Lonchura striata: one gene and its partners. The protein of the gene in region 1 interacts with the protein of each later gene in a biochemical or structural test. Links are inferred from orthologs where the notes say so. Each region holds a gene or a part of one and is shown in the gene's direction. Other genes may lie near its edges.

The links.
Region 2: the proteins of TERT (region 1) and TPP1 form a complex in vitro, tested with the Homo sapiens proteins (2 studies listed by BioGRID and IntAct). The link is inferred for Lonchura striata from reciprocal best matches to the Homo sapiens genes TERT and TPP1.
Region 3: the proteins of TERT (region 1) and PTGES3 form a complex in vitro, tested with the Homo sapiens proteins (2 studies listed by BioGRID). The link is inferred for Lonchura striata from reciprocal best matches to the Homo sapiens genes TERT and PTGES3.
Region 4: the proteins of TERT (region 1) and CIB1 form a complex in vitro, tested with the Homo sapiens proteins (2 studies listed by BioGRID). The link is inferred for Lonchura striata from reciprocal best matches to the Homo sapiens genes TERT and CIB1.

Annotation. Positions count from the first base shown.
Region 1 is NC_134603.1:64,360,566-64,367,655, forward strand, and holds the start of TERT (telomerase reverse transcriptase), read left to right. Parts: upstream 1-4,071; 5' UTR 4,072-4,110; coding exon 4,111-4,338; intron 4,339-5,305; coding exon 5,306-7,090. UniProt on the Homo sapiens protein: Telomerase is a ribonucleoprotein enzyme essential for the replication of chromosome termini in most eukaryotes. Active in progenitor and cancer cells. Inactive, or very low activity, in normal somatic cells.
Region 2 is NC_134604.1:116,992,378-116,999,390, reverse strand, and holds the start of TPP1 (tripeptidyl-peptidase 1), read left to right. Parts: upstream 1-4,007; 5' UTR 4,008-4,031; coding exon 4,032-4,042; intron 4,043-4,447; coding exon 4,448-4,543; intron 4,544-4,623; coding exon 4,624-4,763; intron 4,764-4,837; coding exon 4,838-4,988; intron 4,989-5,201; coding exon 5,202-5,323; intron 5,324-5,682; coding exon 5,683-5,867; intron 5,868-6,076; coding exon 6,077-6,275; intron 6,276-7,013. UniProt on the Homo sapiens protein: Lysosomal serine protease with tripeptidyl-peptidase I activity. May act as a non-specific lysosomal peptidase which generates tripeptides from the breakdown products produced by lysosomal proteinases. Requires substrates with an unsubstituted N-terminus.
Region 3 is NC_134629.1:5,675,251-5,682,541, reverse strand, and holds the start of PTGES3 (prostaglandin E synthase 3), read left to right. Parts: upstream 1-4,290; 5' UTR 4,291-5,355; coding exon 5,356-5,498; intron 5,499-5,592; coding exon 5,593-5,662; intron 5,663-6,124; coding exon 6,125-6,223; intron 6,224-6,421; coding exon 6,422-6,511; intron 6,512-6,697; coding exon 6,698-6,760; intron 6,761-7,186; coding exon 7,187-7,211; intron 7,212-7,291. UniProt on the Homo sapiens protein: Cytosolic prostaglandin synthase that catalyzes the oxidoreduction of prostaglandin endoperoxide H2 (PGH2) to prostaglandin E2 (PGE2).
Region 4 is NC_134613.1:24,356,108-24,363,162, reverse strand, and holds CIB1 (calcium and integrin-binding protein 1), read left to right. Parts: upstream 1-4,042; 5' UTR 4,043-4,102; coding exon 4,103-4,153; intron 4,154-4,271; coding exon 4,272-4,306; intron 4,307-4,726; coding exon 4,727-4,829; intron 4,830-5,225; coding exon 5,226-5,379; intron 5,380-5,627; coding exon 5,628-5,746; intron 5,747-5,815; coding exon 5,816-5,904; intron 5,905-6,145; coding exon 6,146-6,167; 3' UTR 6,168-6,948; downstream 6,949-7,055. Other genes in the region: tubulin polyglutamylase TTLL13, read right to left, coding at 17-173, 531-661, 1,116-1,136; GDPGP1 (GDP-D-glucose phosphorylase 1), read right to left, coding at 2,878-3,954. UniProt on the Homo sapiens protein: Calcium-binding protein that plays a role in the regulation of numerous cellular processes, such as cell differentiation, cell division, cell proliferation, cell migration, thrombosis, angiogenesis, cardiac hypertrophy and apoptosis.

The DNA of each region.
Region 1 (7,090 bases):
TAATCCCTGAGTTCCTTTAAACTCACTGGTAATTACCATCTAATTTTAGAGACTCACTGGCTTTTGTATTTTTTTTTCCTCTTTCTTGAACAACATAATTCACAATAATCAACCTTGAGACTGTTCATGGTGTGTGCAAAGATTTCACACAGGACCCTCCCTCAAGTTTCTTAGTATTGCCATGATTGTCCTAAGTGTTCCTTCTCTATTTTTGCATTATAGACTTCCTGACAAGCTGTTCCATTTCTGAAGTTTCATGTTTCTTCCAACTTTGAGAAGTTATTAATCAAACTAATCTGATATTGTTTGATTTGTTTTTTCACTTTTCTATTTGAACACACATTTTGAAAGACACCTGACTTCTTCATCTTGTGACTTTTCTTCTAAGAGTTCCCTTTAGCCTTCTCAAATGGAGCTTTGAAAATAGAGGCACATTTGCAGAAAGCTTGCCTCTTTAAATGGCCATTACTGAAGCTGGACACAAACATAACATCACATTTCCTTTCACTTTGTTGCTTGACCATAAAAACAGCATTTTATTTTTATCATACCACTATCCATTCCCAGGGTAACCCCCTTTCACAGAAACTGGTTGTAAAGCAGAATGTGGATAAGGTTAAGTATGCCTTGAAGCATAAATTTTGTTGAGACCTGACCCCATTATTTTTCCAGATCTGGGTTCCCAGTAAAAGAGTGATATTGTAGTGAGCACAGAGAACTTTCCACTTGTCCTAGGGTGACTTTATGGTGTTTGTATTCCCAATCATGTGTTCTGTTTATGTTTGATATTATCTTCTGTGCTTTCAGAACTGACTCTGAAAGTGAAGGTTTGTTTTGTCTTGTTATCAGCCGGCTCACCTCCCCCCCACCCCCGGTCTGTTGTCTAGGAGAGGCTAATGCTTGCTGGCTGGCCTGGCCTGCTTGCTTGCTCTTGCTCCTCCTTTTGCTTTTGCCTTTGCTTTTGCTTATTAGTTAGTTTAATTAAGGAGTCCAATCTTTTTTATTCTGAACTGGTTTTTTTCTTTCCCTTTCCTGAGTATCATTCCAACCTGCTCTGGACTGGAACCTGGGAAACACCGAGGAACACCGAGAGCCTGCGTTTGGGGATCTGCAGCAGCCATCCCCAGTGCCAGAGACCAAGAACTGGGCAACCACTCCCAGGAGAGACTTTCTGAATTTGAATTTGTCATCTCTTCAGAGCAGTGAAAGAGTTTTTGTCATCTGGTGTTTTGGGGGTTTTTTTTGTTTGTTTTTTTTTGTTTTTTTTGGTGCTGGGAAGTGTTTTGCTTGTTAAATAAACAGTTTTTTTCCCTCTTCTCTCTGAGGAAATTCTTCCCGAACCGGGGGGGGGGGGGGGGGGGGGGGGAGGGGCTGTGGGTGGGTTTGCTTTCTGGGGGCTCCTTCTGGAGTTTTTCTCCCAAATTTGCCCTAAACCAGGACACCACTAAAGGACACTAAAGTGATTAGAGAGTGGGACAATCTGACCTATGAGGAGATGGTGAGGCAGCTGGAGGAAAGGCTTGGTGGGGATCATATCAAAGGAATTGTTTAGCCCAAGGAGGAAAGGCTCAAAGTGGGGATCATATCAAAGTGAATAAATACAAGATGGGTCCAAATTCTTCTCAATGGATCCAATATCAGGATAAGAGGCAGCAGGCACAAATTAAAATGAAGAAATCCTATTTAAACATTATTTTTTTTTTTTAAGTGTGATAAGGCACTGGAGCATGTTGTGCAGTGAGGTTGTAGAGTCTCCATCCTTGAGGACATTAAAGCCTGATTTGACATGGTACTTGGCAATCTGCTCTAAGTGACCCTGCTTTGAGCAGCAGAGTGGACTAGATACCTCTACAAAGTTCATTCAACCTCAGCTATTCTATGTCTCTGAGATTCTATTTTCCTTATTCATCCTGTCACCCCTCCAAAAAAAAAAAAAAAAAAAAAAAAAAAGCCAAAAAGTCAAAAAGTCAACCTTAATCTTTTTCCATGTTACTTCAGTCTCCCTCTCCCTCCTGAATTTTCTCCCCAGTCCAATAGTAGACACACAGAAAAACACACAGTACCTGTGAAAAGAAAGAGGAGAGAGCCCCCCTTAGCTTGGCTGCAGCAGCCCTCTCCCCCACCATCACTGCTGTGGTTATTGCCACCAAGGAGGCATCAGGAAGGGGCACAGGCTGGGACCTGCCAGCAACTGGTGGAGATTAATTAATCCCTTTTTCTTCCTTTTCCTCTTACTTTCTTCCTGAACATGCTTGTCACAGGAAATGGTGAACCTTATGTTTGTCACAGGCAACATTCTACCATAATGGTGCTGTCACCTTTGGAGCAACAGAGATATGGGGGGAAATACAAGTCAAATAGATCCTTCAGAGGTCAGACTAAGGGCATCAGCTATATCACTACCCTAGATGCAGATGCAGATGGATTCAGACTGTCTACAAATCCCCTGCCCCTCAGTATGCAGTGGTAGTGCAGTATTTTAATTACAGCCCTGCTGAGATCCCATGAAGCCTGGTGTTATTGCTCTGCCTCCCTTGGGAATGCCAGCTGGTGCCTATCTCTGTTAAGAGCTAAAAGAGTCTGGCAAGCAGGCAGTGCTGAACTGGAAATTATGTAGGAATGCCTCAACTTGTAGGTGACAAGTTGCCAGGGAGTTGAATCCTCAGTCATGCTGATGTTAGGAGATGAGCTGCTTTGCTCCCAGGAAGAAATTAATTGTTTTAGTAGGAAAGGAGGCCAGTCCTCCATGAGCAGTGGGATGGTGACCTCACTCCCTAGTCTGTAAAGGCTTCATTTGAGGAAGGTACACATGGCTCTGTTTCAGCAGACTCACGACTTCTACACATCTGTCCCTGCTACTGGTGAGAATTATTCACTGCATGGCACCACCACTACCAGGGACAAGACCATGGGGACACTAACATCTCCCTTCATCTAGTGACACCCCTGAAAAAGTAATCTCCACGATGGGATCTGTTGGATGATTCCTCTCAAAGATGAGGTACTCTCTAATCTTTGGGAAGGAGAGAAGTCTGTTATATTTCTGCAGGATACTTACAGCAACCTAATTATGAAGCCTGGGTAGAAGAGAGTCAGTCACCTCACCCTCCATGGTAGTGTGCTAACTCCATGTTGCCAAAACATTTACACAAAAGTCCTGGGTTTGTTGAATGTATGCAATGCATCATGGTACATTTTCTTGCAAAGGCTTTTGGAAATTCAGGTAGCATATATCAACCAGATGACCAGATAATTTTTCATGTCTTTTCAACACTTGACAGAACTCAAGGGCAGGACTCCTTATGGGAGCAATGTTGGCTGAACAATTTGTATTTCTCTCAGCATCCCCTAATTCCGTTATTGCACAGATATTTCACGTATATTGCTCTTACCCATGGCAAGGGAGTTGGAACTAGATGACCTTTGAAGTCCCTTCCAACCCAAACCATGCTATATAATTCTAGGATTTCTACTAATTCACCTGGAACACATATAGAGCCTAGAGACCTGCACTTCCCCAGGACTCTACTGCAATCCCTTTCACAGACTGGCATCAGGTTTTCTATCATGAAATCTTCAGATACCAAGCCAAATTTGGAGTAGGAGGTTGTACAGTACCGCAAGTGATGTGGCTTCTTCATTCATTAATTTGATGAGAAAAAAAACAAAAACCAACAGGGTGAGCCACTTCGGTATTTGTAGGGTTTCGTACGTTCATCTCCACCACAATCTCTCCTACAGGTGCTCTTAGTGCAGACAGATCCTCAATGGAATGCTTTTCCAGAGGGGAAAAGCGCTCCCCGGCGGGGAATGCTGCCGCTGTGTCCCCGCGGCGGAGCTGGACAGCGGCCTCCGGCCCCGCCCGGCCCCGCCCCGCCGCCCCGCCCCGCCGGCCCGCGGCCACGCGGGGGGCAGCGGCGTGCAGCCGCGCCGCGGCTTTGAAAGGATGCTTTGGCTGCTTCCTTTTTCCTCCGCCTCAGCAGTTAATGCGTTTACCTCCTCACGCATCCATCACTAAGCCGCTGCTCCGCGATGCCCGGCGGGCGAGCGGCGTGGTCGCAGGGGCGCCGCGGCCGCGCCAGGTGGCCCCGCGCCCTCTTTGGCCGCAACATGGCGGGCAAGGAGCCCTTCGCGGCCGTGCTGTCCGCCCTGCGCCGCTGCTACGCCGAGGCCGTCCCGCTGGAGACCTTCGTCCGGCGGCTGGGGGACGGCGGCGCCGGGGACGCCGAGGTGCTGCGGGCCGACGACGCCCCCGGCTACCGCAACTTCGTGGGGCAGTGCCTCGTGTGCGTCCCCCGCGGCGCCCGCGCCATCCCGCGGCCCTTCTCCTTCCAGCAGGTAGGAAGGGGCCGGGGGCGAGGCCCGGCCGGGCTCCCGGGGACTGCGGGGCGGCGCGGCGGCCTTTGCCCCTGTTGGCGGCTGCCGGGCGGGCCCGGCCGGTCCCGCAGCCTCCTTCTCCGCTCCGTCCCGGCCGGAGCCGGCGGGGAGCGGTGGGAGCCAGCCCCCGCCTCTTGGCTGGGAGAGCAGGGCCCGGGTGCCGGCGTGGGGCGGCGGTCGCGCTGCGGGTCTGCGCGCGGCCCCTGGCGCCCGCCTGCCCCTGTGGGTACGGGGAACAAGGCGAAAGTGGCCGGGGAGCGACGGGGGATGGAGAGTGCCCCAGTCTTGAGAGAATGAAGAAGAGGCGGGTAGAACGCGCTGCAGGTCGTTGTTTAAGCGGAGGAAAAGCTTTTCAGAGAGGGAAGACCGCTTTTTTTCTAGCGCCATATGAGCAAAACTGTGCTGTGGTAGGAAGCAGATGTTGCCAACCCAGGGCAACTTGTTAAATGGGTTTTGGAAGTGTGTGCCGAGTCGTTTAGTTGAATTTTCCTTTACATGAAAGGAAGTGGAGGCCTCAAGAAAATTAGCGTTAGTTCCCTGGAGGTTGGAGCCTGCGCGAGCACGTATGCGTGCCTGCGAACATGGATCTGCGAACACGGATTCATTGGAGGCCGTGGAGTCTGAGCTGCTGTGGGTCTTAGGGGGAATAGTGCAGGGCGTTTCCTGGGCATAAAAGCCAGGATCAAAAGGGCAGGTGTTAAAAAGACTACCTTCAAGTCATCGGCTTACGTTGCTGCATATGAACATCTTGCATTACGCTTGGAAAATCTTAATTTTTGAGTGTGATGCATGTGAATAATTAATACTGCTTTCAAAGCTGATGTCTGGGGCTGTGTAACTTTGCATGTGTTTATATTTAAAGGGTATATTGTGGTTTATGGAGGAGTAAGTGGAAAAAGCTAATTATCTTTTTTCTTTCTTTCTTCAGTTATCTAGTCAGAGTGAGGTCACCGCAAGAGTTGTTCAGAGACTGTGTGAAAAAAAGAAGAAGAATATCCTCGCGTATGGATACTCCTTACCAGATGAAAACAGTTCTCAATTCCCAGTCATGCCACTTTCAAAGATACACAGCTACCTACCCAATACTGCCACAGAAACTCTTTGTATCAGCGGCTTCTGGGAGACACTGTTGAGCCGGATAGGGGATGATGTGATGATGTATTTATTGGAACACTGTGCAATCTTTATGTTGGTTCCCCCTAATAATTGCTACCAGGTTTGTGGACAACCAGTTTATGAACTTATTTCACATAGTGTAGACTCATCCCTGGTATTTGTTAGACAAAGGTTCTCAAAATATAAACGTACTAGCTTGCTGAAATATATGCAAAAAAGGCTTATCTTTCATAGAAATTATCTTTTAAAGTCAAACAGACAAAGATATGAAGATAATGTCTCCAGGATGAGAAATGAAAGAAAGAACAAGAGACGAAGCTTAGGGCCCACTGACCAGAGTTCTGCAAAAACCGTTTCTAAAGGAAGCAAACAGATCAGAATGGTTACTGAAGCTCAGGAAAAACAGAGTAGCTCCAGTTCATGTGTTTCAGCCGCAGCTCCGTCTCTAAAAAGGAAGATTCATAGAGAACAATTTGAAATTCCAGCCAAGAGGGCAAAAATAGGAGAGAAAGTGAGAGAGGAAAAGGCTTGTAGTCTTGTTCCTGATGTAAACCAAAGTAGTTCCGAGAGATCTGAAACTGGGTATGTAGCAGCACATTCTGCAAGTGTCATTAAAACCCCCTGTATTTCTGAAAGAAGTAACAGTGCTGTGTCTGGTCCTTCTTTAGTTCACACATCTTGTGGCAGGAGGAAATTTGTGGCAGTCTCTCTTCTGCAGAGATTTCAGAGTAACAAACCTCTAGAGTCCAACACTGAAATGCAAGCAGAATCCCATAGGAAAAGAGTAGAGATGCGTACATATGAATCTCAGTTGGCTTCAGGACAAACCAAACCAGTGGAGGGTTCAAAATGCAGAGAGCAGGAAAGTCCCCAACCTCATTTATCAAAGAAGTTACCAAAGAGACTCCTGAGTTCTGCAACATACATTGAGAGGAAGTCTCTTCTGTACTCTTGCAGGAGTTTCCAAGAATGTTTTCCTAAATCATTTGTATTGAATCGCTTGCAAGGTTCTCAGGCAGGTGGAAGACAGCTTGTAGAAGCTATATTCTTAAGCCAGAATCAGGTGCAGCAAAGGCATAACCAAAGTCTGCCAAAACACAAGCGAAGAAAGAAGACATTGCCCAAACGTTACTGGCAAATGAGACATATATTTCAGAAACTGCTATTGAACCATGGGAAGTGTGCTTACTCAGCTCTCTTGAAAAAAAATTGCCCTGTTTGGATATCTGAAATCAGTATGACAAAAACCAAGCTGTCTTGTCAGGTGGCCTTGTCTGAGGAAGCAGAGGTTCAGAAGCAAGAGGAACAGTCTGGGAAAGAGCCTGCTAAGTGTGCGACAAGCAGCAGATGTGAATCTGGTCACAATGATGTGCCAGACAACTTAGGTGCTCCCTTGGCAGAATCTGCGCGTGGGGAGTTGCTGCCGAGTGAGGAACAAAACCCACGAGAGGCATGTGATTCAGCCCTCGCAGAGCTCCTCAAGCAGCACAGCAGCCACTGGCAGGTGTACATGTTTGTGAGGGATTGCCTGGAGAAGGTCATTCCTGCTGAGCTTTGGGGTTCAAACCACAACAAGTGCCGGTTCCTAAAAAATGTC
Region 2 (7,013 bases), on another chromosome or scaffold:
CCCACAGGTGTTGTCACAACAGACAAATGCTGTGACATCTGCCTGTCCCCCCATTTCCCATGAAGAGCCATCTGTGGCTGCAGCTGTGTGTGTCACAATCAGCTTCTCATCCCCCTTGTGCTGTGGGGTCCTGGCATGCGCCACTAGGTCCCGGGTGCTGTCCTGGGCACAGGGCAGTGACAGGGGACAGGCATCTGCAACAGTGACAGGGGCACCAAGGGGGTCCCACAAAGGCCCGTGCCCGCTCATGCCCACCCTCCATGCCTGGGGACCCACAGGGGCCTGAGGCGCCCTGGGAGGGGCAGATGGTTCTGCCTTGGCACAGGGGCAGCCCACAGAGGTTCTTGGGGTGGGCACTCTCATCCCCTCTCTGTCCTGCTCACAAGCACTGTGGGGACACACTGTTCTCCCCAGGCCCCATAGGGACACTCTGGGGGTGTCTGGTGTCCCCCAGTCCCATGCTGGGGTGCCTGATGCCCCCTGGCCTTGTGCTGCCCAGGCTGCCCACACAGCCCAGCTCCACTGCACATCTGGGATGAGGACAGACATGGGTCACTCTGCACGCCACAGGAAGGGCCAGACACATACACCCTGCTTTGGGCTGGGGTCACTGAGCCCCCTGTTATTTATTTTTACACATTGTACTACAATTCCTGTTTTTACTCGTTTGTACCTTTTTTATTGTGTCTTGTGGAGCTGCATGTACCAGCGCTGCCCACGGCCGTGCAGGGGCCACTCGGTGCAGCCTGAACCCAAGTGCCAATGTCTCAAAAAATGCCTTAATAAACCACACGTTTGTACAGACACAGCCCCATCCCTGCTGCTGTGGGCTCGTGCCAGGCTGGCACCATGTTCCCAAGGCACTGACCAGAGCGGGGATGCTGGACCTGCATCACGAAGGGCTCACATGAGCCTGGCCAGGCCCTGGCACCCACATCCATGGCTGCGTCCTGCCAAGTCCTGTTCCCGAGAGGCCAGTGAAGTTGTGGCACCCCATGGTCCTGGGGCTGTCCAACAGTGAGGCTGAGTGTGTTTCCATACAGGCATACGTGCAAACACAGCTGTGGAAGGCATGTCTCCACACGTGCACACAGCTGGTCCCGCATGCCACAGGCATCGCTATCCCATCCCCTACCCTCGCTCTGGTGAGGGCTGTGGGCAGGGCTGTGCAGGCACCCAGAGCTGTAGCAGCCACAGCTGGACACGTCTGCCCAGCAGGTACCTCACATTCCCAGGATCCCCACTGAGGACACCTGGACACACAAGTTCCCCAAGGCACAGCCTTATCACAGCCAGCATGCACAGACCTGCTCTGGGGATCCCAGTGCTCCAGCAATCCCGCCAGTCTGCCCAGTAACTTTGGCTCTGCTTCTCCCTGTTGGGTGATACAGACATGCACGGGGCTCTTTGCTGATCTCCAGACGCTGTGACCTGATGCCACACTCCTCACCAAACAGTGCCCCCTGGCCCCAGGAAACAGTTACCAAGCTGGAGAACCAGTAGCGGCCGTGCAGATGTCAGGTGTTGGATGTGGCCAGACCCGTAGTGACCATCAACCAGCTACATATGATCACCCACTTCCATCCTGCTTTACCTTTGTTTGTTGTTCCCAAAACCAACCTGTTTACTCCCTGTCCTCAGCTCTCAGGTTCCAACACCCCACAGCAAGTCCTGCACAGCCCCAGCCTATTCTGCACAGCCCCCAAGGCACGCCCAGCCCTGCTGGCAGCACTCTGGGGCCAGGGAGCAGCTCCTGTCCCCCGGCTCTGACAGGGCTCCTCACTTCACTGGGGTAAGCATAAGCCAGCACAGCCGGGGCAGAGGGGGAAAGGACGACCACCCCGACCCTGATGGTGTCCCTGGGGTTCCCTCTGCTCCTTCCTCCCCCAGCCCGACTCCTTCTAGCTCCCTGCTGGGGTGCAGTGGGCATGCTGGTTGCCCTCAGTGCCACTGTCCTCCTCTGGTGTTCCTGGCCTCGGGAAAAGCCAGCTGCACACAGTGGGGACTCACTTCACCGCACCTGTGGGAACAGCACACGAGGGTCCCGGAGAGCGAGGCTCCAGCCAGGGGACACAGAGGCTCCCTGACCTCCCAGGCGCTGGACCAACAGCAGATGCTCCTTAACACGATTAGCTCTGCCTGGCCGCCTTAATCCTGGCTGTCCAGACAGATCCAGGCATCATCCCCTGCAAATCTCATCCCACTTAGAGAATCCATCCCCAAACTGGACCTGGGCCGTGCAGCCCCGACAGCACCCCAGCCCCCGGTTGCGGCCAGGGCAGCTGGTTCCCCCGTGTCTGCAGCCAGGAGGAGGCCGGGGCTGCCAGGCCAGGGCAGCCGTGGGGCTGGAGCAGGGGAGCAGGAACAGACAGACACCTCTGGTGTTGCTCCAGCGCGGGGGATTGGCAACCTCGGCCGGGCAGGTGGTTTTCCTATTGCCTGTCTCTTCCTGGCCTGGGCCCCGCTCTGCAGAAGCAGGAAAGCAGCTGGGAACTGCTGGAGCCATGGGATGTGCCGTGGGACTGGGCTTGTCACTGAAACTGCAGGAAAACAAAAAAACTCTCCAACATTTATACTGTGAGAGAATCAAGGCATTGCTTTATTCTGGCCAGGATGTGCAACAGAAATTGTTTCATCCACATATGTCCTGGGTTGTGCAGAGAAAAATCATTCCATGACACATGAATTTTACTACATTTTCTACATATTTTATACAGCCAAAGCACATAGAAATTCATTGGTTCATTGTCCATTTGTCCCAAGTGTCAACGTTCTGTGTTTGGTTTCCTATTCGAGGAGTGACGTCTGCAGTTGATGTTCGTTCACGGTTGTTAACCTTTGTGTATCTCCTGCGCTGCCCCCAGCAGCCCCTCCTGCATGGGACCGCTCACCCCCCGCCCGGCCAGGGACCCCAGCAGGGTCCCCCGCCTGTCAAGGGCCTCTCCTCCCAGTCCGCGGCCATCGGTCCTGCACGGACTCTCGTCCTGCCTCCAGCCCTGCAGGGAGCCCTGCCCCCCGGAGCCCGGCACGGGCCCTCGGCCGAACGCCGTGTCCGAGCCGGGAACGTGTCCGCACCGCGCCGGGAGACGGCCGGGAACGGGCTGGGGGCGGCCAGGGCCGTGTCTGAGCCGCCTTGGGGCGGCCGGCAGGCAGCGAGTCCCCGCTGGCACCGAGTCCGGAGCCCGGTACCGTGCCTAGAGCCCGGTGCCGCAGCCCGGAGCCTGGTACCGTGCCCGGAGCCCAGATCCCGCCCCGTGCCCGTACCCCGGTACCGTGCCCGGAGCCCAGATCCCGTCCCGTGCCCGTACCCCGGTACCGTGCCCGGTGCCCAGATCCCGCCCCGTGCCCGTACCCCGGTACCGTGCCCGGAGCCCAGATCCCGCCCCGTGCCCGTACCCCGGTACCGTGCCCGTACCCCGGTACCGTGCCCGGAGCCCAGATCCCGCCCCGTGCCCGTATCCCGGTACCGTGCCCGTACCCCGGTACCGTGCCCGTACCCCGGTACCGTGCCCGGAGCCCAGATCCCGCCCCGTGCCCGTACCCCGGTACCGTGCCCGGAGCCCAGATCCCGCCCCGTGCCCGTACCCCGGTACCGTGCCCGTACCCCGGTACCGTGCCCGGAGCCCAGATCCCGTCCCGTGCCCGTACCCCGGTACCGTGCCCGTACCCCGGTACCGTGCCCGGAGCCCAGATCCCGCCCCGTGCCCGTACCCCGGTACCGTGCCCGGAGCCCAGATCCCGCCCCGTGCCCGTATCCCGGTACCGTGCCCGTACCCCGGTACCGTGCCCGTACCCCGGTACCGTGCCCGGAGCCGAGATCCCGCCCCATGCCCGTACCCCGGTACCGTGCCCGGAGCCCAGATCCCGCCCCGTGCCCGTACCCCGGTACCGTGCCCGTACCCCGGTACCGTGCCCGGAGCGCCCCCGGCGCCGAGCCCGGTACTCCACCCGTCACGTGAGCGCTGTCACGTGAGCGCTGTTTTGGTGTCTCCGCGTGGCGGGAGTCACGCGGCCACACGTGACCGGGCGGCATGGCGCGGGGGTAACGGCACGGAGCGGGGCGCCGGGACACCGGGACACCCCGGGACACCGGGACACCCCGCCGGGGGGCGGTAACGGGGCCGGGGCGGCCTCGGCGGCCATGGGGTCCGACGGGGCTCCCGGGTGATGGAGGCTCAGGGGGTCCGACGGGGCTCCCGGTGGCGGTGGGGACGGGGACCGGGGGGTCAGGCGGGGTTCCTCGGTGGTGAGGGCTCGCGGGCCAGGCGGGCTCCCCAGTGGCAGGTAGCGGGGTCAGACAGGCTCCCCGGTGCTGGGTCTCGGCGAGTTCCGGGGGGCTCCCCAGACCCGGGGCGAGGGGTAGTCAGACGGGCTTCGGGCTCGGTCCGCGGTCAGTGCTGTTGCCCGCGGCTGTGCCATTGCCTGTGCTCCCCTGAGCCCATTGCAGGTGTTGGGGGATCCCCGCCGTGCTGGCGCTGTGTGCGGCCGCCTGGAGCTGCGCCCCGGGGCTCGCGCTGCAGCTGGAGCGGGACCAGCCGTTCCGGTAGGTGCGGGGCGGGGGCCGGGCCAGGCCGGGCCAGACTGCGGTGCCGGTGCTGGCCCCGCTCACCGCCCACCCTGCAGCGTGCCCCCCGGCTGGGCCCACGCCGGCCGCGTGGATCCCGGGCAGCCGGTGCTGCTGACCTTCGCCCTGCGTCAGCGCGGCGCTGCCCGTCTCGCCCGCCTGGTCCAGGCTGTCTCGGACCCCCGGTCCCCACAATACGGTAACGGCCACGTCCCTGAGGCCCGAGACCCTCGGGGCCTGTGAGGGGATCTGTAACCCCTGTGTGCCTCCCAGGGCAGTACCTGTCCCTGGAGCAGGTGAGGGACTTGGTCCAGCCTTCCCCAGCCACGCTGATGACAGTTCTGAAGTGGCTGCAAGGCCATGGTGTAGAGGACTGCCGGAGTGTCACCACCCTTGACTTTCTTGAGTGTTACCTGCCTGCAAGGTGAGCTCTGAGCGCCAGAACTGGCTCTGCTGGCCCTGTGGTGGCTATCCCTGTGTCTCACTGCTGTCCCATCCTGTGGTGGCTGTTCCTATGTCCTAGTCCAGTCCCACTCCGTAGTGGCTGTCCCTCTCTCCCAGCCCTGTCCTGTCCTTCGGTGGCTGTCCCTGTGTCCCAGGGCTGTCCCGTCCCACAGCGGCTGTCCCTGTGTTGCAGTGCGGCCGAGCACCTGCTCCCTGGGGCCGAGTTCCACCGGTACGTGCAGGGCCAGCGCAGCCTGCTGCGGTCCCCGCTGCCCTACTCTGTCCCCGCAGAGCTCGCTGAGCACCTGGACTTCGGTACGTCCCACCTGGGGGAGCTGAGGCTGCGGAACGCAGGTGCTGCTGCTCCTGGGGGACAAACCTCCCTCCTGCAGATCCCCGTTCCGTGGGATCCAGTGACCGTCCCATTAACAGCGTGGGGGGTGCCAGGCTGAGGCTATGGCTGAGCCACAGGAAGGCTGAGGAAGGCTCAGCTGTGGGAAGGCTGAAGAGGCTCTTCCCCTGGGCCAGGGCTGCAGGGCTGGGCTCTCCAAGCCCTGCTGTTGGCCTGCCCGTGTAGAAGTGGGGGCAGTGATGGGGAGTCCAAGGGCTCTGTCCTGCCCTCCCAGGGCTCTGTGCCCTGACAGCCTCTCCCATCCCACTGGGCTCTGCTGCAGTGGGTGGGTTGCACCGGTTCCCCACGGAGCACAAGGCAATTAGCAGAGCCAGGGCCAGGAAGGACGCAAAGCTGGCACGAGCATCGTTCCACCTGGGCGTGACACCGGCTGTCCTGCGCCAGAGATACAACATGACAGGGGGGGATGTGGGGCTGCTGCCCAACAACAGCCAGGCCTGTGCACAGGTAAGCACTGCCTTGTCAGAGGCATGTGTACCGGGGCAGTCCAAGGGTTTGGTGCTGGTCTGGGGGTCTTGGGACAGCTGGGTGTCCCTCAGTGGCTGCTGGGAGCACCTGGTGTAGCACAGACCCGTGCTGGGCAATTTCCTACGTCAGGATCAAAGCGTTACCTTGTTTTTTTGAGAGGAGACAACCTGTCCCTCTGTATCCCACAGTTTCTCGAGCAGTACTTCCACCAAGCTGACCTGGCTGAGTTCATGCAGCTCTTTGGCAGCGGCTTTGCCCACCGCACGCAAGTGGACCGGGTGGTGGGGCACCAGGGCCGTGGCAAAGCCGGGCTGGAGGCCAGCCTGGATGTAGAATACATCATGAGCACGGGCGCCAATGTCTCCACTTGGGTCTTCAGCAACGCAGGTACTGGGGAAGAGCCACGAGGGGCAGGGGGAAGGAGAGCACCCAGAGAGAGGAGGGGAGGGCCTGGAGCAGGGAAGGGAACATTTGGAGGTTTGAGGGAGGGGGCTGGAACAAGGGAGGGGAGTGCTGGGAGGAGTGAGGGGAGAGCTTGCAGGGCTGTGCAGACAACTGGCTGTAGTACTGCCCAGGTGCATCCCCAGCTGCTGTGGGAGCGGACCCTGTGTGCTCCCCAAGTCAGAGCTGGCACCGCATTCCCAGCTCCTAGGGACATCACTCCTGCTGTGTGTGGTGACTTTGAACTCTGTATACCTTCAATCTTCAGAGTATCCTGAAGCAGGGTTTCTGTTGCTAGCACCATACAGAGCAGCTGCCCCACTCAGCTCCATGAAGGAGGGCACAGCCCTCCTCCCGTGGGGTTTTCCAGCTCTGCTGCAGCTGAGCTCCCACCCACGAGCCTTCCAGAGGAACAGATGAGGGAGAGTGAGGGAATTGGGAAAATAAATTGCCAAACAGCCTACACAAACACAAACAGGGCACAGTGCTAGGGGCAGTGTCCTTGTCCCAGACTGGGAACTGGCTGAGCAGGTGGGTGCCACAGGGACAGCAGCCCTGTCCCTGATGGTGACGGTGACAGCAGATGAGTGCTGCCCTTCCCTCCGTCCTCACACAGTTACTGGTATGGGAAGGATGCAGATGAGTGACATGGGTGACCGAGAGTGAGTAGGTGTGCCTGGGACG
Region 3 (7,291 bases), on another chromosome or scaffold:
TGCGGGAAATCCATCCCCGCGCTTGGCGCTGTCCCTGGGAGTGTCCGAGGCCGGGCTGGACCGGGCTCGGAGCAGCCCGGTCCGCTGGAGCGAGGTGGGATTTAAGCTCCCTTCCAGCCCAAAGCGTTCCAGAATTCCATAAAAAAACCGAGCAATAGCGAAAAGGCCCCTCAGGATGGGGTGGAGGCTCACGGAAAGCCCCGGGGCTGCCGTGGTGCTGCTGTGCCCGGTGCAGGTGAGCCGCTGGATCTCCTCCCCCACGTGCATCCCGAGCGGAATCCCGCGCTCCCGGCTCCCCCGGAGCTAATTAACCCTAATTAATCGCCTGCCTTCAGCCACCCGAAGCCAGCTCGTGGCAGAGCTCTGGTGGACGCGAGCGTTTCCTCAAGAAGAGCCGGAGTTTTCCACGTGCAGGGTGGAAAACGGGCTGGGAAAGAAGAGCTGAGCTGCCCTGGGAGCTGCCGGCAGCATTCCCACGTCTCCAGCGGCAGAACGAGGGTTCCCAACTGCCAGGGAGCAGCTTTGGGTGGGATATTGGGGAAAAAATTCCTCCCTCTGAGGGTGGTGCAACACTTGAATGGATTTTCCAGAGGATGTCCCATCCCTGGAGGTGTCCCTGCACATGGCAGGAGGGGCTGAATGAGCTTCAAGGCCCCTTCCAACCCAAACCATTCTGTGACCTCCACGGGCCTGGCTGGGAGGATTGGAGGCAGTAGCACTTCCTGAGGTTTTGTTTTGTCAGGAATTTGGGCTGGGGACAGCGTTGACTGATGGTTTTTGGGCCCTTATCCTCAGCCAGGCTTTTACTTTTCTTCTGAAGCCCTGAACAGTGGAGATGCTTCATCTTAACGTGAGTGAAAGTGAGAGAAGTGTGATCACGTTGGAGTTTTCTCGTGTAATTTCTGTAGATTTCAGCATCCTGAAACTGCAGCGCTGCTGCATCTGCATAGAATTGTCTAAAATCTAAAATGAGGCTTTCTTAAAATGGGGAGGAAAAAAAAAAAAAGGCGCCTTTCCAGGGTGTAAAAATGAAAGGAAAAGTCATTTTGTAAAACAGGTTTTATTGCTGTCTGGGAGGAGGAAATCTTGTTGAGGGCCTGATTCCTGCAGTGTCCTCGAGCTGTGGGAGCTGTCAGGATACTTCCAGGAGACAAAGCTGGGATTCCATAGGCTCGGGATACAGGCAGAAAACACAAGAACAGGTTTGGAAACTTCCTCGATGCCACAGATGGAGAGATTTGAGATTCCCCTGGTGAGTTCAGCGTGCCAGAGACCAGGAGAAATCCAGGGATATCCAGCAGAGCTCCCTGGATCAGGAAGAGCCTTGAGGGCTCTGTGGTCAAGCTGAGCCTCCACGTTGCCCATCAGTGCTGCTGGGAAGCTTCTAGAACTTGTTCCACAGTGCTGGAATAACGATTGGAATGTGGGGATTGGAAGAGCTGCAGTGGCTGCTCAGGAAGTTCCCAGAGCACAGGTGGATGGGACAGAGGAAATCCTCACCGGAACAGAGCGCTGGGAACCACCCAGGAATTTAAAAGGGTTCTAAATTCCCTTTTAAACCTTTAAATCCCTTTCTGTTTTCCAAATCCCATGCTGGAGGGGGGGTGCTGGATAACCAAAACACCCTTGGCAGGAGGCTGAGCTCCCTCGGAGTTGGGGTGAGCAGGATGGAGCTCCGACAGGCGGTGGGGCAGTGCCTGTGAGAGGAGATTTTCCACGGGTGTGTGGGAGCTCTGGGAGCACGTGCAGGGCTCCCCACGGGCTGCTGCTGTTTGGGGTTGTCTCCTGGGAATCTCCGTGTGGGCAGGAGACAGAGAGGAGCTGCGGCTTCCGCCTCATCCCAGCTCCCCGGCAGGTCCTGCAGTACTGGTTGGAACTGGTGAGTCCTGACTGGAGCTGACTGGGAGGTTTCCCTCCTGCCTTTGGGAGGATGAGATTGGAAAAGCAGATAAAAGGAGGAGAGGCAGCTCCAGCACGTTCCGAGCACTCTGGGGGTGAATTCCCAGGAAAGCAGTGCAGGTTTAGGCTCAGAAACCTGGAATTATGAAAATTAGGATTTCCAGAAACATGGAACTAGAATTATGGCAGAGTCAGACAGATTTCTGGGAGGTCACGGGCTCTGAGCTCTCTCAGGGTGAATTCCTAGGAAAGCAGCACAGGTTTAGGCTCAGAAACCTGGAATTATGAAAACTAGGATTTCCAGAAATCAGAATTATGGCAGAGTCAGACTTATCTGGGATCTCACTGCTCTCTGCTGCTGGGACATGTGTGTGTAGCCTTGAGCTGAGTGGGATTTCTGGGAGGTCATGGGTTCTGAGTGCTCTCAGGGTGAATTCCCAGGAAAGCAGCACAGGTTTAGGCTCAGAAACCTGGAATTATGAAAATTAGGATTTTCAGAAATCAGAATTATGGCAGAGTCAGACTTATCTGGGATCTCTCTGCACTGGGACATGTGTGTGTAGCCTTGAGCTGAGTGGGATTTCTGGGAGGTCACGGGTTCCGAGCGCTCCCGGGGTGAATTCCCGGGAAAGCAGAGTGTATTTAGATTCAGAAATGTGAATTCTGGCCAAGTCAAACTCATCTGGGGTCTCGCTGCTCTGCAGCTCGGGCGTGTGAGCCCTGTGGGGTTTCTGGAAGCGCTCTGAGTCCTGGTGCTGCCTCAAACCCCCGATCCCAGCCGAGCTGCCGAGGTGTTATGGTTTGATATTGGTACCATGTTAGTGTTTTTATGAAAATGTAATTTTTTAATTGAATGTTGTGAAATGGAATTGAGAATAGAGTAAAGCAGGCTTAAGTTTAATAATAAGGGAAAAAATATTAAGTTATTATTATAAAAGAAAGGAAAGGGAAAAAATATATAGATTAAAATGAAAACTTTGTAAAATTTTTTTTATTATTTAATTTTTATAAGTTATACTGAGATATCATTTGGATTTTAATTAGGTTTTTAATTTTTAGAGAATTGATACTTAGTTTATTGAGGGAATAGAGGTTTTTTTGTGTTATAGAGTTTTAAAGAAATTCTACTTTTAACCCCTCTATATTCTCAAAAACATGTCCACCTTCAATTACTCAATATCTAAATTAACCTCTTCTTTCCGAAAAAAAATTCTTTCTCCATGTCAAACCACAACACGAGGTCACGCGTTCCGAGCGCTCCCGGGGTGAATTCCCAGGAAAGCAGCACAGATACAGATCCAGAAATGCGAATTGTGGCCGAGTCAGACTTAGCTGGGATTTCGCTTCTGTCCAGCTCACACGTGTGTGTGTGTGAGTGTGTGTGTGTGTGTGTGTGTGTGTGTGTGTGTGTGTGTGTGTGTGTGTGTGGAGCCTTGAGCCCAGGGCGGGTTCTGGGAGCGCTCCGAGTCCTGGTGCTGCCTCAAACCCCCGATCCCGGCCGAGCCTCCCTGGGAAGGCTGGAGATGTCTCCATTGACATTGAGAGCTGGGAAGTGTTAACACCATTCAGCCCCTGCGTCACCCGGGCAGGGACACTGAGATTTCTGTTAATAACGGGGCTGGAGCCACGTTCCGAGTGCCCCACGCTGGGGGGTTTTGTCTCCTGGCACAGAGGGAGCAGAGCAGGGCATTTCTCATCCTCCTTTCCTCTTGGGAGTCTTTCATTCCCCCTTAAAAGAGGAAATCTGTGTCCAAGAAGAGTTTAAAAATACCACAGTAAAAAAATTGCTGCTCTGCTGCTGCACTTCACCTGAATAAGGTGATAATTAACATTCCGTGAAATGCTGCTATGAGGGAAAGCAGCGGGTTTTCACCCCTGGAGCAGCTGAAACTCAGGGCTGAATTCAGAATCCACTTTTTTTTATGCTCTTGGAAATGAAATCCTTGGACATTGGTCTCTGCCCAGGTGTTGTGGCACCTACAAGAGGTGTTTGGGCTGCCCAAGGCATTGTGGCCATCCTGCTGCCTTTCCCTGAGTGGCACCAGTTTGCCCAGGACCTGTGGCACTGGGGGAGCTCAGAGGTGGCTGGTTTGGGGTCCAGCTGGAGCTGGGCTGGGCCATGGTTGGGTTCATCCCTAGGAAATGTGGATGGGAGCAGCAGGAGCCTTTGGTTGAGTCCCTTTGCTAAATGTGCCACAGCTCAGTGCCAGCAAATAATGGCTGATGAGGCGAGTCGAAATCTTCATCTGGAAGTTTAGCAAAGGTTACCTTAATAAATGGTCTGAAAAGTTGTTTTTTGGTCAGATATTGGTTTAGAGAGAGCAGCACAGAGGGCCTCAGCTACTGTCACAGGCCATGTCACATCAGCTTCCCTGTTTAAATCCTTGTCCAGCTCAGAGCCTTCCACCTCATCCCACAGCTGGGAAAAATTCCTCCCTGTGAGGCTGGTGAGGCACAGGAATGGCAGATAAAGGGGGAGATAAGGTTAAAAAGCAGATTAAGATGGGATATTGGGATGAAATACCTCCCTGTGAATCTGGGGATACCCTGGAATGGATTCCCCATCCCTGGAAGTGTCCAAGGCCAGGCTGGACAACCTGGGCTGGTGAAAGGCGTCCCTGCCAGGGCAGGGGGTGGCACTGGCTGAACTTTGAGGTCCCTCCCAACCCTTCCACCGATCTCAGGAAGACAAAGGAGTTGAGGAACACCCTTGGGCTCTGTGCCTCTGCAGCAGCCCTGCTGGGAGGCCTTTGCTTCTGGAATGCAGCCGTTCCCTGGGCTGGGCCTGGGAGGGGGAGGAGGTGTCTGAGCCCTGCCAGCTCCTTTCCCCGCTCCACCGAGCAGTGCAGGTGAGTTCTCAGGGTGGGACTGCAAACACAGGAGTTGCTCTGGAGCTCTGTGCCTTTCCCAGCTCCCCTGGACATGCTCTTGCTTTTTGAGGTGCAAAGGCAGAGGAATTCCAAAGTGTGTGGCAGTCCTGGTGTGAGCACTTGTAAAAGCTTGGAGCAGTGATTCTCCAGCCTGTGCTGGCTTAATTGGGTCTTAATCATAGCAGATCCATTTTTTTATAGTATCAATACCCCAAAAAGGGTTTGGTTTTTTTTCTGGTAGTTTTACTTTAGGTTTTAACTCTTTGCGTGACGAAAACCACTCTGAAGTCTGCCTGTGCAGCTGTTGGAGGTGGTGGAGCTGCTGCCATAATCTGTAGTATCTCATCTTGAAGTTTATCATAATTTTGATCTGCTGAAATGTTGATTTCAGTCTCAGATTTCAGTGGCTCCTCCCAGGAGCTTTCTGGGGGCGTCACACTCCAAATGCACCAAATACATAATTTCTTTTGATTCCAGCCCTCTCTTTTCAGTTTAAAGCAACTTTAAAAAATAACAGTAAGCTCGAAATGAAGGTTTTAAGTGCAAAAAGCTTTTTTTTTCCCCTTGGATTTCTTGATGAAAATCAATGCCCCTGTGTCCCTGCTGTGCCCACAGGCAGCCTGCCTCTGCAAAGTGGTACGACCGGAGGGACTACGTCTTTATCGAGTTCTGTGTCGAAGACAGCAAAGACGTAAATGTAAATTTTGAAAAGTCCAAACTCACGTTCAGGTGAGTAATTCCGGCACAGGGAGCGCTAAGGAGAAGCAGATTTGTTCTATGAGATGTTTTTTGGGCTAAATACTGATTTCTTTTTCTCTTGCAGTTGTCTTGGAGGAAGTGATAATTTTAAACATTTAAATGAAATCGATCTTTTTAATAATATCGATCCAAATGTGAGTATCCTCCTGACTCTTCCTGAGTTCTTGATGCTGGTGAGGGGCTGGCACAGCTTGTCCAGAGAAATTGCAGATATTCCATCCCTGGAAGTGTTCAAAGCCATGTTGGAGCAACCTGGGCTGGTGGAAGGTGTCCCTGCCCATGGCATGGCTTTGGAACTTGGCTTTTAAAGTCTTTTCCAACCCAAACCATCCCTTGGTTCTTGGATCCTAAAAAATACCATCTGTTCTTTAGGCTGCTCCCAAGATTTTATTCCTTTAAAATAGGAATATGGAATATTTTCTAAGGGGAATTATTCCTTAGAACATAAAAGCTCAAAGTCAGATCCAGGAAAGATTCTCTGGGGGGGTATTTTTCAGGACAAGGAATAAGGGAAGAGGTGAAGATAAAGGAAGGATGTCAGCAGTTCCTGGTGAAGGTCATCCTGATGGTGCTAATGGATATTTGCTCTTTTTCAGGAATCAAAGCATAAAAGAACAGACAGATCCATCTTGTGTTGTTTACGAAAAGGAGAGTCTGGTCAGGCATGGCCAAGGTTAACAAAAGAGAGGGCAAAGGTGAGTCTGGGCATCTGCTGCCTCCCCTGGCTTTCAATTTAGTGAATATTTGGGTCATGTTCAAACTCTGGAGCAGTTTTGGGTCACTTTCCTGCTCCTGATCCCACGGCAGCTCTTGTTAACCTGTTCTAAGTGACAACCACTTCCTTGTCCTTAAATAATTCCTTGTCCTTAAATAACTCTTGGGTCTTGCTGCAGCTCAACTGGCTCAGCGTGGACTTCAACAACTGGAAAGACTGGGAAGATGATTCAGATGAAGACATGTCCAATTTTGATCGCTTTTCTGAGGTAGGGAACTACAAATTCCTGGAGTTTTGGGAGTTGCCAGGCAATGAATCCTAGCTTTTTGTGCACCATCACTTTGTAATTCCTGCATGGGGGCAACTGATCTGTTACAGCAAGGGGAGGGCTGTTGGTTTTGGGTTGTTTTGGGTTGGATTCACTCCAAAGCGTGGCTGTTCTGTCTCTGAGCAGATGATGAACAACATGGGAGGAGACGACGACGTAGACTTGCCAGAAGTAGATGGGGCAGATGATGTGAGTATGTGGGTGCAGTGAACACCTGCAGGGCTGGCTCAGAAGTCCTGCACTCACCCCTCAGCACCAAAAAAAGGCTTAAATAGCCCCAAACCTTGTTTGCACAGGTGATGTCACCTGGGGAGGCCCTTTCCCTCCCCTCTCAGCAGTGCTGAGGGTGCTGGGGACACCAGTTTGGGGTGTCTGTCTCTCTGCAGGGATTGGGGGTCACTGTGGGTCTAAAGGTGCTGGGGACACCAGTTTGGGGTGTCTGTCTCTCTGCAGGGATTGGGGGTCACTGTGGGTCTGCAGTGAGGCCAAACTGAGCTCCCTGTGTCATCTGGAGCTTGGAATTCCTCAAAATCCAGATTTGGGAACAGCAGCTCTCTGCTGGCAGGGGAGAGGGTGGGTCTGCTCCACTTAAAGGTTGTTTGTTCTCCTTTGCAGGACTCACCAGACAGTGATGATGAAAGTAAGTTGTTGTCTTTGTTGTTTTCCCCTCACACACCTGCTGAAGGCTCCGAGCCGCCCTCGGGCAGGGCCAGCAGATGT
Region 4 (7,055 bases), on another chromosome or scaffold:
TGGAGCATCCCAGTACCTCAGAGATGTACAGCTGACAGATCATGCGTTCCCCGTGCTTGATCTCCTCTGGGTGGTGGGTTATGAAGATCCCTCTTCCCTGGCAGCTGTTGTCAGGCTTGCAGATGAATGTTCTTGCTTTCTTCATGGATCTATAGGCATGGAAATCTCCGTAGCTGTGCAAGGGAAGGGTGACTATCACCAGCTGCAAAAAACACCCCTCTGAACTCTCTCCTAACTAACAGCTGGGTACTGAAACCATGGTGCTGCAGGCCAGCACACACTGAACCTCTGCAGGGGATGAATCCAACTCCTAATTTCTAATCTACAGGAGTCACAGACTGGTCCCTGTGTGACCTGACCCAGCCTCCGCATCCCTCCTTTCCCCTGCACACATCTCCACCTGTACTGGCAGGTGTGCAGGAGAGGTCACTGTGTGCGTGTCACAGCAAGTGAAGGTTTGGGTTCCGGTGCCCAGAACGAGCAGCCCAGCAGCCTCCCCTGCCCGTGTCACCCCATCCCCAGCGACTCACTCAGCTGGCAGGCACCACGTGCGGGGGAAGATGTTGTACTCCTTGGGGAAGAGCCGGAGCATGCGGTTCAGGTTGCGAGCCAGCAGGTCCTTGCGGCACAGCTCGATCATGCCTGGGAAGTGGTTGATCTTCTGAAAGTAGTGCAGAAAAACCCTGATCAGCAGAGCCCTGTGGGGATGGATTCTCCTGGCCCCGAGGAGAGCCTGCACATGGAGAACCAGCAGTGAGAGGGAAGCCAGGCCTGCGGCTGCCTTGAACTACTGCTGGGGGGTGAGACTTGCTACAGCTGTTTTATCCGAGCTTCACTACTGATTTATCTGCCTATTCCATCTTAGCCCTGGAGCAGTGAAAGGGCTGTTTAGTTCACAGCACATCACAGGGCTGGAACACTGCTGCTCCCGCCACAGCTGTGAACGCTGCTGCCAACACCAGCCAGAGACATGGCACCAGCAAAGGCGTCTGACCCTGCGCCCTGGAGCCGAGGCACAGGTGGCACAGGGCGCTGCTTTGGGTGCTTCTGTTCACAGACAGCCATGTGTCACCCTCCCTCCCCAGCAGTTCCTGCTGGGCAGCTGTTCCATTTACCTGGAAGCGCTTCATTTCCATGAGGCGCTCCAAGGCGACCGTGCTGTCGGTCCAGCACACCGTCCACTCCTCATTCTCTGCCGCTTCCTTCAGCCCGCAGTGCTGCGCCGCCCGCCGCACTGTGCCAAGGCAAGCAGCGACAGGGCAGCCACGCTCAGGGACTGATAAACCCCCAGAGTAACCAGGGATGGAATGTGAAACAAGCCTCTGGCTGAGGAGCCACATACAGGGCCTGACACCCCCCCAGAATAACATGGGATGGAGTATGCAGCTCCTCAGGCTGCAGCTCCCCTCTCAGAGGTATAAAGTGTTGGCATGAGCCCTTGGAACATGTCAAGAACACCACTTTTATCTGGCCAAATCCCCAAGCCTCTGGCTGCAAGTGTTCTGGGAACTCTTAAGCCTCTAACCCCACCTGTCTTGAGGTGCCAGGACCCCTCAGCAGCAGGATTGAACTTCCCATGTGTCTTACAACTCACAGGCAGATACAAGTCTTGTGAAGGTGTGAATTTAATCTCCCAAATCAAAGGTCTTTTAGCAGAACATAGCTCTGCAGAAAAAGGTCTCTGCTAGCATGGTTCATCGTGCCAAGTATGAATTTGGCAGGGCTGATGGAGATCCACGCACACCAAGATCCCTTAGCAAATAACACCCCTCAAGGGCCAGAAGTTTGTTGTTTCGAGATCCAGCTTGTGGAAGGAGAATGGGAGGGGAGAGTCCACCAGTTCCCTGGAGTCACCAGGGATGAACAGCACAGGGAGAGGTTCCAGGTACAGATCCTGCCTGCTCACCACCAGCTTTACCTTAAACAGCTGGCAACTCTCAGGCCCTGTCTCCAAGTCCAGGTGCTCCCTTGCCCTGTACCTGATGAAACCCTTCTTGCCCATTTTAGCAGACAGCTGGCAAACACAAGTGTGGGGCATGTTCAAACACAAGTGAGGGCTCACGCTGCTGTTGCACATTTTTAAATTGGGGGGAATCTCAGTCCAAAATGTGACAAACTCTCCACTAACACAAGAGTCCTGTGCCAGTCGCTGGCAGCAGTAAATAAACCGGTGGGAAGCGGGTGCCAGCACCGCTCCTGGCTGGGCAGGCACCTGGAGAACCTCTGACTTACCACTCTCGTACTTGCAGCCGCTCAGGTTGATGGAGGGGACACTGGAATAGAGACGAGATGACAGCAGCTCAGCGAGGCACGGGACAGAGTGGGGACACAGCCGATCCCCCCATACACAGAGCGCCCCGGGCAGTCTGACCGAGCCAGCCCCGGCCCGGTACAGCCCTAAGGGGACGGGCACGCTGGTTCTGGGCACGGAATGCGCCTGGCTGTGTCACACAGGGGGTCGCTGGGGCACTTCCAGGGAACACTATTTATTTTGGGACCGGCTCCCGGGGACTGGGGAAGGCCGGACTCCGGCCGGACCCTGCCGGGGCCGCGGGCCCGCACTCGCCTGCGCTTCCTCCGCGGCTCGGGTGCGGCGGGGGCAGCGGGACGGTCCGGGGGGGCCGCGGCGCTGGCCGCCTCCTCGCCCGGAGGGGTCCCCGGGGATGGGCCCGGGCCCGTGCTCCCGCCGCCGCCGGCCGCCGCCATCGCTCCGCTCCCGGCGCCGCCGCGTTCCCATGGCGACCGCACCAGCGAGCCGCGGGCCCCGCGGGCGGAGCGCCCCGCGCGCCGCGTGACAGCCGCTCCCGCGTCCTCCGCCGGCAGCGCCCCCGGTGCCGGCAGCGCTGCAGCGGCCCGGCCGGTGTCCGTGCCACCGGCTCAGCGCTCCAGCAGCCGCGCCAGCTCCCCGCCCAGGTGCAGCAGTTCGGGTTCGGGCAGCAGGTGCTGGCGGATGGCGCTCAGGGCCTGCACCTCGGTGATGTCCCGGTAGAGCGGCTCGGCGGGCAGCGGCAGCAGCCCTGCCAGCTCGCACAGCGCCACGGCGAAGGGCTCGCCCGCCTTGGGGCCGAAGAGGGGCCGGCGCGCCCACAGCAGCACCCGCAGCCCGCGGCCGCCGCCGGCCCCGGGCCCCGCCGGCGGGTCGCCCCGCGTGGCCAGCACGTTGCAGGCCAGCCCGGCACGGCCCAGGTGCTCCGCCGCCCGGCACACGGCCCGCGACACCGGCTCCAGCGCCGCGGGGCCGGGGGCGAAGAAGAGGAAGGCGGGGGCCGGTCCGGCGCGGAGCAGCCCCAGGCCCGGCCCCAGCGGCTCGGCCGGCGCCTCCTCCAGCGGCAGCGGGCGGGCCAGGTAGAGCCCGTGCAGGTGCAGGTGGTTCACCGAGGCGCCGCCGCCCAGCCCGTTGAAGCCCACGCGGAAGCCGGGGTGGGCGCTGAGCAGCGCCGCCTCCAGCGCCCCGCGCAGCGCCGGGGCCGTCAGCGCCTGCGGCAGCCGCCGCGCCGGCTCCGGCAGCAGCAGGACGTGCCCCCGCTCCAGCGGGCTGGCGTTGATGGCCACCAGCAGCGGGTCGGGGGGCGGCCCGGGGCCCCCGGCGCGGCGCAGGCGGAACAGCAGCTCGGCGGGGCGCAGCCGCGTGAAGTTGAAGGCGCCGGGGTCGAAGGGATCCCGGAGGCTGCGGACGGGCTGTGGCGGGCGGCGCTCCGCGCTGCGCTTCTCGTTCAGCTGCGCCACGATGCGCACGGCTCCGGGCAGGACGCGGGTGGGCAGCGGTCCCAGCCGGTACCGGAACAGTCCCCGCTCCATACGGTCGCTCCAGCCCGCCAGCAGCACCCGGTCGAACCGCGAGAGCGCGGAGTCCGGGTCGTCCCAGCCGGCTGCCTGCAGCACGAAGTCCTCCTCGCCGTACACGAACTCCTCGGGGCTCGGCTCGCCCGGCTCCGCTCCCGCCACAGCCGCCATCTCCGCGCTGCCGGCGCCGGGAGCCGGCCGTGTGCCCGGCGGGCGGGGCTGGCCGCTCGGGCGGCCGCGCTTGCCCCGCCCGGGGCGGGCCGCTGCCGTTGCCGTTGCCGCGGCAGCGGGCGAGTGACGTGCGGAGGGAAGCGGCGCCATGGGCGGCTCGGCCAGTCTGATCCCGCGGGACTTGCTGAGCGAGTACCAGGTACCGGCACCGGCACCGGGGCGGAGGGTCCCGGAAGGTGCCCAGAGGCCAGGAGCCCATGGCTACTGTGCCCTGGCTCAGGCCTTGGCCCCGGTGCCGACCCGTGCTGTCCCCGCAGGAGCTGACGTTCCTGAGCAAGCAGGAGATCTTGCTGTGAGTACCGCAGTACCGTAAGTGCCCCCCGTGCCAGCCCGGTCCCGCGGGGTTCAGCCTCTGCCGCGGGGCACGGAGAGCTGCGGCCCTGCCCCGGGGCTCCCGTTCCGCCGAGACGGCCAGCTGAGCCGGGAGGTGCCGGTGGCGCTCCCTAGGAGCCGGCTGTGGTTGGGCGAAGGTCCGCGGGTGCTGCCGGTGACGCCCTGCCCAGCGGGGTAGCGGCCGGGGCCGGCCCGATCTGGTCGGGAGCCCCGGAGCCGCGGTGGGCAGCAGCCCGAGCGGCTCCTTGCCTGGCCCCGGGAGCGGCTGTGGGACCCGGCCCGGCAGAGCTGGCAGGAGCGGTGGGATGCGGCCACCGCGCCCTGGGGTGCGGCCACCCCGCTCGCACCACAGAGCCGCTCTTTTTCTTGCCTCTTAAAGTGCCTACAAGAGGTTCAGTGAGCTGCTGCCGAAGGAGGAGAGGGAGAACGCCTGCTCCGCGCGGGTTTCCAAGAGCCAGATCCTGACGCTGCCTGAGCTGCGGGTATGGTGCCCTGCAGACACGGGACACTGCTGCTCTGGGGTTAGGGCTCCGCGCACCCAGCACGGCCTCCCTGCGCCAGTGCTCTGTCCTCAGCTGTGCCACTGAAGAGCTTCCTTGTCCTCACCGAGCAACTGACAGTCCCAGGGCTGCTGCTGTGCAATGGGGGATCCCTGCTGTGCAGGATCCTGGGGGTTCCTCCTGTGCCACAAGGGGCCCTGTCTATCCCTGCTGCATGGGGCTGCATCCCAGAAGGTGCACGGGACAGGTCTGACCGTGCCATGGGTGATGGAGCAGTGGCAGAGCAGGGCAACTGCTCACCTGCTGGAGCAGCAGCCAAAGTGTGCCTGATGGAGCCAGCACGGCCCAGCCCGGCCTGAGCCATTCCTGTGTCTACAGGCAAACCCCTTCCAGCACCAGATATGCCACGTGTTCTCAACCTCAGAGAGCGGGGATGACAGCATGTCATTTGAAGACTTTCTTGATATGCTGAGTGTCTTCAGCGATTCTGCCACCTCTGACATCAAATCCCACTATGCCTTCCGCATCTTTGGTAAGGCTGGGGAGAGGTGCTGTGTTCTGGGATCACTGCACCTTGAGGAAGTGGGAGCAGGGTGATGGGTTGATGTTCAGGAGGGCTGGCAGGGCCCTTGGAGCACCCACAGGGATGGTGGCTTTAGGAACTCCCAGTGGAACAGCTGGTTTGGCATGGTGAGGTGCATGGAGTGCTGCAGTACCGGTGTCTGTGACTCCCTGGGGTCACTGCAGCCCTGCCAAAACCCACCTTGTTTCTCCCCACAGACTTTGACAACGATGGGATTCTGGACAGGAAGGACCTGGAGCAACTGGTGAACTGCCTGACAGGGCAAGGCGAGGAGTCCCAGCTGAGCAGCGCAGAGATGGAGCAGCTCATCCAAAATGTGAGCCCCGCTGGCCAGGGCATGGGCACAGCCCCAGGCACAGGGCTGAGCGCTCACCTTCCCCCGCAGATCCTGGAGGAGTCCGACATCGACAAGGATGGCACCATCAACCTCTCTGAGTTCCAGCACGTTGTCTCCCGCTCCCCGGACTTTGCCAGGTGCGGTGGTCTCCGGAGGCTGGCTGGGGGCAGCAATCACCCTGATTGCTCAGCTGGCACTGGGGCAGAGCTCATGGTGGCAGGAGAGCAGGGCCGCCCTGTGCCAAGTCTGCACAATGGCAGAGGGCTCTGTGTCCCAGGCTGGCTCTGCAGAGGGATTCTGGTCCCTGCAGCACTGGGTGCTTGTCAGCTCTTTGTGTGACCTAGCAAGCAGGTGCAGATCCTGTCGTATCTCTTGCAGCTCCTTCAAGATTGTCCTGTGAGCCCCGTGGCGGTCCAGCAGCACTCCTCCAGCTCCTGCAGGACTCCTCTAGTTCCTGCAGCTCTTTGTGGGCTCAGCCATTTCCTCTTTCAGGGAGCACAGGCCCAGCCCCTCAATGGCCTGGCTGTGCTGCGATGCCTCAGGCAGGAACCCTCCAGCTTCCCTCTCAGGTGCCTGCTTGGCAGCCAGGGGTCCCAGGAATCTGCCTCTCCTGCATCCCCTCTGCTGTCCTAGCAATAGAATTTGAATCCTTATGCATTCCAAGGGCAGCTCTGCAGGTGAGGGAGGAAGAGCTGCTCCTGCCTGGGGCCACTCTGCACCAGCACAGCCCCTCTCTGCCCTCAGGACAAATTCCTACTTTGTGCCTTCCAGCAGCAGGCAGGGAGCTGCCTCTGCTGCCAGCATCTTCCTGCCTCTCCTGTATTTCTGGGAGCCTGCCTGCTGCCACATGGATCCATTTCTCTGAGCAATAACTGAACGTGGATCCTCTGAGCAATAACCAAAAAGTGGATCATTTTTTACAAGCAATAACCTAAACAGGAATGCTTTCTCTGAGCAGTCACCCAGGAGTCACTGTACAGATGCCACCCCCCAGCAGAGCTGTCCCCCCACGGCTGTGCTCAGAGCCTGTGCTGCCCCTCCTCCTCCTCCTCCTCCTCCTCCTCCTCCTCCTCCCTTTCTGTCTTTGCCCTCTTCTGGCTCCAGCACAGCAGCTGCTCTGCCGCCCTGGCCTCTTCCTCCCCCATTCCCTGTGAGGACACAATTAAAGGGCTCCGGTTTCACCCTTGCTCTTTGCTGCCTTTGTCCAGCTGTGGGACGGGTGCCACTGGGGTGTTGGGGACATGGGCTCCTGCCAGGCCTCTGCCTGCATGCCAGCCGCCGCTCCAGG